2 linked regions of the Arabidopsis thaliana genome follow. The protein of the gene in region 1 interacts with the protein of each later gene in a biochemical or structural test. Each region holds a gene or a part of one and is shown on either strand. Other genes may lie near its edges. The genes, in order: PIP2E and TSPO.

Region 1 (5,207 bases):
CACGTATTAGCAGCAAAATGATATTATTGACTTATAGTCATGTGACTCATGTAAAAAATAAAAATTCAAAACAAGAAGATGTTATAAAAATATGGATGAAGATGAATTGTATACATAGAATTAATATTACAATGAATCCGAATGTGTTTAGATAAGTTGTAAATTACAAAATTGCGTAGAAAAAAAAAAAATGTTTTGCTATCAGTATATCCGTAATACTTTTTATGAACGGTCCCATCTCTAGGAAAAATGAGTAATATAATTCATGAAGCAATTCATTTTCATTTTATTTACAGAAAAAAATAATGGTCGTCGCTCGATTATTAAGTGGGACATTTGTTTTTTTTTTTGGTATTATTAAGTGATGCATCATCTGTTGTAGTCTTGTAGAACTCTATAATCCGCCAAATGCTTCGCTTCAAATATATTCTTGTATTTATCTTGGTGTCCAATCCTACTCTGCCATGGACGGGCCTAGCTACGTAAATTAGATGGGTCTACCACGGACACCACGTGGACAAGATTTAATGTTCATGGTTCATGGAGGTCGATCGTCTTCCCAAAAAAACAGTCATTTGATCCTGTGTTAATAAAAGTGGATGATATTCATGTTAATATTTATTAAATTATATGGTTTCTCATTCTCCATTCTTCATATCGTAATTCTTGCTCCACATATGAAACATTTCAAATGTTGGGAATAAAAGGTTTTTTTCAGAAAATATAATAATCGTGGTAAATTCAATCCCATCGCAAGCTCTCCTATTGGGGTTGGGAAAATCTTTGAAAATTTTCTTTCAGGCTGTGTTTAGTTCCATGGCCACCTTAATGACCAGTATCTTTAAATACGGCAAGAGTTTTAAATTTGAAAAGAAAAACAAAAACGTAAAATTTCAAGTATTAGACAACGTACATTCTTAAATAGGTGATTGTTGACTCCTTGATTAGGAGAGCTTTCAGATACATTCGCCCCATTTCACTGTCATGTCATTTGTATATACTGTTGCTCGTCAAATAATCTGATTCTTTGTTTCAATTTGTAATAGCATTTAAATTACTTTTATTTTTCTGCGTTAAACTTTTCGACTAAAGGTCGGTCCAATTTGCATTTTAAATTACTCTTATATTTTCTGCGTTAAATGTATGAGCGACGACTCTTTCATTTTAAGTAGTCTTTTTCATTACTTTGCAACATCTATCAGTGTCTGTTATTTTGCATTTTTTTTGGTCTTTTAAGAACTGAAATCTAAGAATCTACGCTAATTACATGAATACAACCATTCTATCATTTTTCTGTAATTATGGTGATATGAGGAAAAAAATAAATAATGGTTGACAGTTATACTAAACCTAAACATATTCGGGTATTAAAGTTACTTGGTTAGAAAGAAAAATTAAAAACCCAAAATTTATATTTTAAAATTTCTCTTTAAAGGTTTAGCTCCGGCTATGAGGATATTGCGCACAACACAAAGCCTCGTATCAAGTAGTCTACATGAAATGTTTGCCCATTGTAATTTTGTAAACTAGCTTGTTTGTTCGTGGGTAAAATAACTTAATAGGAAAATACCAGCAAAAAAAGGCGAGAGGAATTAGTGATTTTTCCCCCCAACAAAATTGTTGCAAAATAACCAAATCAAAATCAATTGAAAGCATATTCTTTAGACATCAATAGAGTCTTCATAGACTAATCACAATCATAAACACCTGTAGTGTTCCCTTATTTTACGAACTTTTTAATAAATAAAAAAGAAGAAGATAAATTAATTAACCTCATTGCAAAAGAGGAAAAACCTAAAGCCACAGCTTTCCATAAATAGACCCACTCACCATCTCTGCACATCACCCACATCTTCTAACAGTCTCTCACTTTCTCTCTTCTCTCTCTCTCTTTCTTTTTTGAGTCCGTGAAGGCTAAGTCTGAAAGAATGACGAAGGATGAGTTGACGGAGGAAGAGTCGCTCTCCGGCAAGGACTACTTAGACCCACCGCCTGTGAAGACGTTCGAGGTGAGAGAGCTCAAGAAGTGGTCCTTCTACAGAGCTGTCATCGCTGAGTTCATAGCTACTTTGCTCTTTCTATACGTGACTGTTTTGACAGTCATCGGCTTTAAGAGCCAGACTGATATCAACGCCGGCGGCGGAGCTTGTGCCAGTGTCGGCCTCCTAGGCATCTCTTGGGCCTTTGGTGGCATGATATTCATCCTCGTCTACTGCACTGCCGGCATCTCTGGTCTCTCTCTCTCTCTCTCTCTCTCTCTCTCTCTCTCTCTCTTTCCTTAACCATTTTTTGCATTATCTGATTTGCATAGCAAAATGCACATGCTTCATCATTCGAGGCTCCTATACATGTCCTCGTAACAAAGAAGCAGAATTTCAAAAATACCAAATCAACCAAACTATAGTAGTTAAATGATTGATGATACACAATGTTGGCCAGTATACATATGTGGTAAGAAAACTTAGCTTTCTAGAACATTAAATTCCATCCAAATTAAAATTCCAAATAATGTATGTTCTAAGATTTTTTTTGTTTTCAAACCAAGGTTAGTTTTTATATAAAATTAATGTTTCATTTCGGATTTCAATAATTTAACTATTTGAATTACTAAATCGAAGTTTTGCAAAAAACAATTAATCATGTGAAAACACCAAAAAAAAAAAAAAAAAATTATCTATCTCATCTGGATCAGCTGGTTTTATGAAATTATACGTACTTATCATATATATTTGTATAGGTGGACACATCAATCCCGCGGTGACGTTTGGGCTATTCCTAGCTAGCAAGGTATCATTGGTTAGAGCTGTGTCGTACATGGTGGCTCAGTGTCTCGGAGCCACTTGTGGAGTTGGTTTGGTGAAAGTCTTCCAGTCGACTTATTACAACCGCTACGGTGGTGGAGCCAACATGCTCTCCGACGGATACAATGTTGGCGTTGGGGTTGGTGCTGAGATTATCGGCACTTTTGTCCTCGTCTACACCGTCTTCTCCGCTACCGACCCTAAGCGAAATGCCCGTGACTCTCACATTCCTGTAAGCAATTTTAACTATCCTACAAGCCTCAATCACATGAATAACATTAAAAAGTATCAAAAACCTAGCTAAAGACTTATAGTAGTACATAAAATTGATAGTTTTCTTTCGTTTCATTTATTTTTAACAAAATGTAGTACTCGTGGTAATTACAGAAATAAATAATGGAAGAAATATTAGGATAGATTTTTTGATTTCGTTGTCGACAATTTTTCGTACAGAATCAAAATCTAGTGCCAGCTATATAACGCATTTATTTAATACTGAAAACGATGTCGTCTAGCCATTTTGGCCCTAACGAAAATAATACGGACCAAGTGTAACGTCTATCTTCTTCTATGAGATAAACGACGAAAGGGTGTCCAATTATTTTTCACTCATTTCTTGTTCGTTTCTTTGGTACCAAATGTCTATTTACACGTTATAACGACATACCATATTTGTGCTCCACGTCTCTTCATCACATGTCTCTGTATGTAAATGGTCCATATTTTGCATTTCCACAACGACCCATGTGTATGTGTACATACATTTTCCATGATATTTGTCCTTGCAAATATATATGATTCGTTACAAAACAAATCTTTCTGTTATGCACATGGTCATTAATTGATTCTTTTTCCCATTCTAGTAATCTTGGTACCTATGATTCATTCAAATTTAAATGTCTATGTCATTGATTGTTAATGACGTAAGTTGATTTATTTTGTATGAAATTATTGAATTGTAGGTATTAGCACCATTGCCAATTGGATTTTCCGTGTTCATGGTTCATTTAGCCACAATTCCAATTACTGGCACCGGAATAAACCCGGCTAGGAGTTTTGGAGCTGCCGTCATCTACAACAATCAAAAGGCTTGGGATGATCAGGTTTGTATTTTCACCATCTGATATTCGTTCTTGGGTTTTAAATTAACATATTAATGAGTTTTGTTTTAATAACTACAGTGGATCTTCTGGGTCGGTCCATTTGTGGGTGCAGCCATTGCAGCATTTTACCATCAGTTTGTGTTGAGAGCTGGTGCAATGAAGGCCTATGGGTCAGTCAGGAGCCAGCTTCATGAGCTCCATGCTTAAATTTGTTATTTCGAACTAGCGAAGAGGTGAAGAATTCTTTGGGCCAGGAAGGGAGGAAGGAAAAAAAAAAGGGACCCAAATCATATAAAAGAAAAAACGAATATTATTTAAGATGGTCGGTGAGTGACATTTACTGTGTCTTATTTGTGGCTTTGTGGGGGAGGTTTGTGTGTAACAATTTGTAACGTACAAGCAATGTATGTGTTATTTGATGCATATGATATTTATATATCTACTTATTGATGATTCTATCTTTGATCAATCATCATTATAACTTAAATTTCATAGAAAAAAACACAAACTCCAAAACCATAAACTACTATTGTTCCTAAATTCTCAGGAATGTCAATGTCGATCACAATCTTAAAATTTCATGCTAAAGATCCTTTGGGTCTTTTCCATCAACGGTGCATCCTATCAATCACTGAAAAATAAAGGGCACAAACATTTGTAATCGTCTCAAACAAACAAATAAAAAATGTTGAAATGATAACGCCATGGATAAAATGTTGAAATAAAAATAAATGATTCACGACACATGTTTAGCTATGTATAGGAGAAAAACCAAATCCTCTCACTTTTCTCTTTTATCTGGTTCCCCTCAGATTTCTTTACTATCTTGTTCCTCTTACTTTCCTCTATTTCTTTGGTATTGCCATCTAGTGAGATCTTAACATCTCACAACTTATATGGCACCTTCCTCTATTTTCTATATTTTTTCAACCGCATAATGAACATGACACCAACAATCAGAAGTAGAAACCCAACCAATATCCACAGGTGTGAAACATAGAATTACCAGATTTAGCATCAGTCTGACACATCTTGTATGGATACTAAGAGAGAGGGTAGAGTCTAGCATGATTCTTGAGAATAGGTAGATAATCGGCAATAAATGCAACATTGTTTACACTAGTAAATTGACATATTTAGCAATAAAAATGTATATATAAATGTTAATAAAACCAATAAAAGAAATCTATTTCACATTTAATATCATGCGATTGTTGTAAGATGTGGTAGCTTAGCCGATCTTCCAAATATGCAAGATCTAGCTCATATTTTTGAGCATGTGTAGTTTAGGTTCAAAATAATA
Region 2 (3,793 bases), 3.3 Mb from region 1:
TGTGGCTGTGATTGCTCTTCTTCGACTACTATTTCATCTTCAGCCATTGTCAAAGACTTGGTGCCGTTGCAGACAAACGAACCGCTCTCTCTCTCTTTAAAAAGACTTATATCACACCGGACGGCTCAGATTTGAAACTGGTGAGCCACGTGGCATGTTGCTGCCATGCTCCATTTTAGTTTTAATTTAAGCGAAAGGGATTGGATTGTGAGAGACGAGTGACCTCTAGGACAGCTGTCCTATTGACAGATGTCTTACTCTTAATGGACCGTTTTCAACACGTGTCGAGGTATGGGTCGAGACTGTTGCACGAAAGCCACGGCCACTCCGTCGGCACGAGTCTCGAGGGTAAATCAAAAAAGCACAAGGACCTCTCGTTCGCTATCATTCATCCACTTTTTGTATATTCCCTCCAAACCTTACATGATATCATCACGTGTTAAAATGGATTGGGCCCTAATCCTCGAGTTCCTATATTAATTTTAGGTTTACCACTGACTGAGAAGCCCACAAAACAGTGTCAACGGCCCAACCCAAAACTGATCAAAGTATAGTTGGCTTTACCGTTTGAATTTGTTCCGTTTCGGCGACATAAAAGTAAAACGATCGCCTTTTAAGAATCTCACAGTTTGATTTCAGACCAACGCTTAAAACTTCTACAATATCACATTATTTCTCAAGTATATCATGTTCATGTCTATTACTCCACAATGACCAGACCATTGGATCGCAAAGACATCTTTTATGGTATATATCACAAAAAACAAAAACAACAAGAAACACTCATATGACTCAGACTCTACAAACATCATCGTATAGCGTTTACAGATCTCACGCGACTGCAAGCTTTACATTAACAGCGGCTACAAAGGCAGCCCAAGCCAAACACGGCTTTACCAGATTACCAGCGACCGGACTTATCTCATTAAAGGCCTTGTAGCATCCGAATAACGCAGCCGATTGACCCAACCACACCGCAAGCCCCGCTACTCCCGACCCGACGCGGAACGTAACCGGATCCCAAACCAAACAGAGCAAAAACTGAGCTAAGTAAAGATACAGAGCATTGGGCTTCTTGTGGAAGCCACCGTCAACCCATACAAGCCACGCAGCCAAACCCATCAGACCACTAGAAGCGAGACACGTTGTGTGTAGGAGCCACAGAGGTGGGATCCACGACGAGGACTTAGCTCGATTCCCGTATCCGTCGCTTGTGCCGAGGAAATACGTAGCGAAGAGCGTCACGAGCACAGGAGCCGCAACCGCTACCGTCAGAGACTTGAGACCACGTTTCGCCATCGCCCTCTTTTGATCGCGTTTTCCTTTGTTGTCGTCAGCGCTTTTCCTCTCTGTCTCGGCCATAGCCGTCGTTGCAGCGTCTCTGTCGTCTCCGCCGCGGTATCTGATGTCCTGAGAATCCATTACAAACGTCCAAAACAGAATCGAAGGAACAAGATTACTGAGATTTGAGATGTTGGATAGATGGAGAAGAAGCAGCTTGGTCAAAAGAGAGTATAATCAGGAGATGATATTAATAGACAAGAAGAAGAAGCAAAAAGGCCAAGGCTCTTGTACACGTGGCGAGTGATATGTACACGTCGAATGCTAATTAATTGTTTTTTGTTTTTAGATAACTTTGTGAAAAAGTGTGGACACGTGCTTACTCTATATGCTCATGTCTGATGCATACACACAGTTTTGGGACGATTGCGATGCTTATTTATTTATCGCTTAATACTTTTGCATTATTAAAAAATAAAACAACAATTGGGCTCTACACCGACTAAGACAAGAAGCCCAATAGGCTCATTTAATTTGGGCTAATTAGAAGAGTAGTAATATGGAAGTAGTTGTCTGTTACGCGGCGTTGGCTAGACGCTGATGCGATTTGCTCTGTTTTCATGGCGGGCGCCTCATCACCGGCGAGTTTGAGAGCTTCTCGTAGCCGTCGGCTGGGGAAGGAGACGAATCGATCCGATCTATTCAAAAAACCTGCAGTTCCATTCGCATTCGCGCTAATTCTTGCTGATGCAATCCTAGTCGCACTTATTATCGCCTATGTTCCATGTGAGAGCTATTTACCTCCTTTTTTTTTTTGCTTGCGTATCCCTCGAAATGTGCATTTGCATAGGTTTTAAACCAAATTTCGTCATTTGCCTTTAACAGACACGAAGATCGATTGGGATGCTTACATGTCACAGGTAAGTGTCAATGGTCAACTGTGGTTTCTTCAAAGTAAACTAGTAGTCTTTAAGTGAAATTTATCTAATTGGGGCAGGTTAGTGGGTTTCTCGGGGGAGAGAGAGACTATGGGAACTTGAAAGGCGATACAGGGCCATTGGTTTATCCAGCAGGTTTCCTCTATGTTTACTCTGCAGTGCAGAACTTAACTGGAGGGGAAGTCTACCCTGCTCAGGTGCTTGCAATTCCCTCTCTTTGAATCTCCTATCTTTGGATTAGCTGCGGAATTTGATCCATCCATCGCTTCATTTGTCTCAATTCTACTCTCTTACATTTTGCAGATTCTTTTTGGTGTTCTCTACATTGTCAATCTGGGGATCGTCTTGATCATCTACGTGAAGACTGATGTGGTATAAATGAAGACTTATTTCTTATCTCTTTTCATCAAGTATTTGTAGACGTTGTCAAGCGTTGTCCATTTACGATGTTAATGAACAATATTTTGGTTTTGATTTGTCTGTTTATGATGGGAGTGATTTTAGTGAATTCAGTGATGATATCTCTTCTTGTATCCTTACGTATTTCAGGTGCCATGGTGGGCATTAAGTCTACTATGTTTATCCAAGAGGATACATTCAATCTTTGTTCTCCGTCTCTTTAATGATTGTTTTGCCATGACTCTCCTACATGCATCAATGGCTCTCTTTCTCTATCGTAAATGGCATCTAGGGATGCTTGTTTTCAGGTTAGATTGCTGCTTTTGCTTCTCGATTCTTTAGATTGACTAGTCTGCTTACCCTTCTTTTTATACAGTGGAGCTGTTTCTGTAAAGATGAATGTACTTTTGTATGCTCCAACTTTGTTACTTCTGCTACTTAAGGTATATATGTTCGTGGAAGAGAATTAGTTTATGGATTTGCTTTATTATTCTTCTAGCATTGTTTTTCTTCATATGTGAAGTTTTACTATTCACAGGCCATGAATATCATTGGAGTGGTGTCTGCTTTGGCTGGTGCAGCTCTTGTTCAGGTTTCACTATATCTCTTATAAGCCTTCTTATTCACCAATTTGTATGCGTAGCATTGTTTCTCCAAGACAATTTGGAAACTTGTTAACTGTAGTTTCTTCAATGTAAATAGGTGAGTTGCATTATCCAGCGAATTATAGTTTTGATTATGCAAGAAGTACCATTCAGCTGGTCAATGAATGGTTATACAGATACTCGTGGGACTGCCGTTTCTGATAACATATCCGGTTTCATACATAGCAAACGCCTTTGATCTTGGACGTGTTTTCATTCATTTCTGGTATTGTTCGCTTCTCTCCCGCCAAATCTAAAAAACATGTTGATGGGATCTAAAAATGTCTTTTGACCTCTAACTCTAGTTTGAGCTCTCAACAGGTCTGTTAACTTCAAATTTGTTCCAGAACGAGTTTTTGTGTCCAAAGAATTTGCAGTATGCTTGCTCATTGCTCACCTTTTTCTCCTTGTGGCGTTCGCAAATTATAAGTGGTGCAAGTACGTACAATCATAAGGCAGCTGCAATTTGAAAGCAGTTGCAGTTTGTGTGTTTAGCATTAGTTGTAATTAATATGTTGATTTTATAGGCAT

What was found.
Region 2: the proteins of PIP2E (region 1) and TSPO form a complex in vitro, tested with the Arabidopsis thaliana proteins (one study listed by BioGRID).

What each region holds. Positions count from the first base shown.
Region 1 is NC_003071.7:16,289,636-16,294,842, forward strand, and holds PIP2E (plasma membrane intrinsic protein 2E), read left to right. Parts: upstream 1-1,644; 5' UTR 1,645-1,928; coding exon 1,929-2,232; intron 2,233-2,737; coding exon 2,738-3,033; coding exon of another isoform or gene 3,034-3,105; exon of another isoform or gene 3,106-3,672; intron 3,673-3,763; coding exon 3,764-3,904; intron 3,905-3,982; coding exon 3,983-4,111; 3' UTR 4,112-4,466; downstream 4,467-5,207. UniProt on the Arabidopsis thaliana protein: Aquaporins facilitate the transport of water and small neutral solutes across cell membranes.
Region 2 is NC_003071.7:19,566,330-19,570,122, reverse strand, and holds TSPO (TSPO(outer membrane tryptophan-rich sensory protein)-like protein), read right to left. Parts: upstream 1,660-3,793; 5' UTR 1,423-1,659; coding exon 832-1,422; 3' UTR 616-831; downstream 1-615. Other genes in the region: AT2G47780 (Rubber elongation factor protein (REF)), read right to left, coding at 1-47; ALG3 (asparagine-linked glycosylation 3), read left to right, coding at 1,902-2,067, 2,167-2,201, 2,279-2,416, 2,523-2,591, 2,769-2,926, 2,995-3,061, 3,157-3,210, 3,400-3,488 and 2 more. UniProt on the Arabidopsis thaliana protein: Stress-induced membrane protein that can bind heme and may play a role in the transport of tetrapyrrole intermediates during salt stress and contribute to the detoxification of highly reactive porphyrins in the cytoplasm.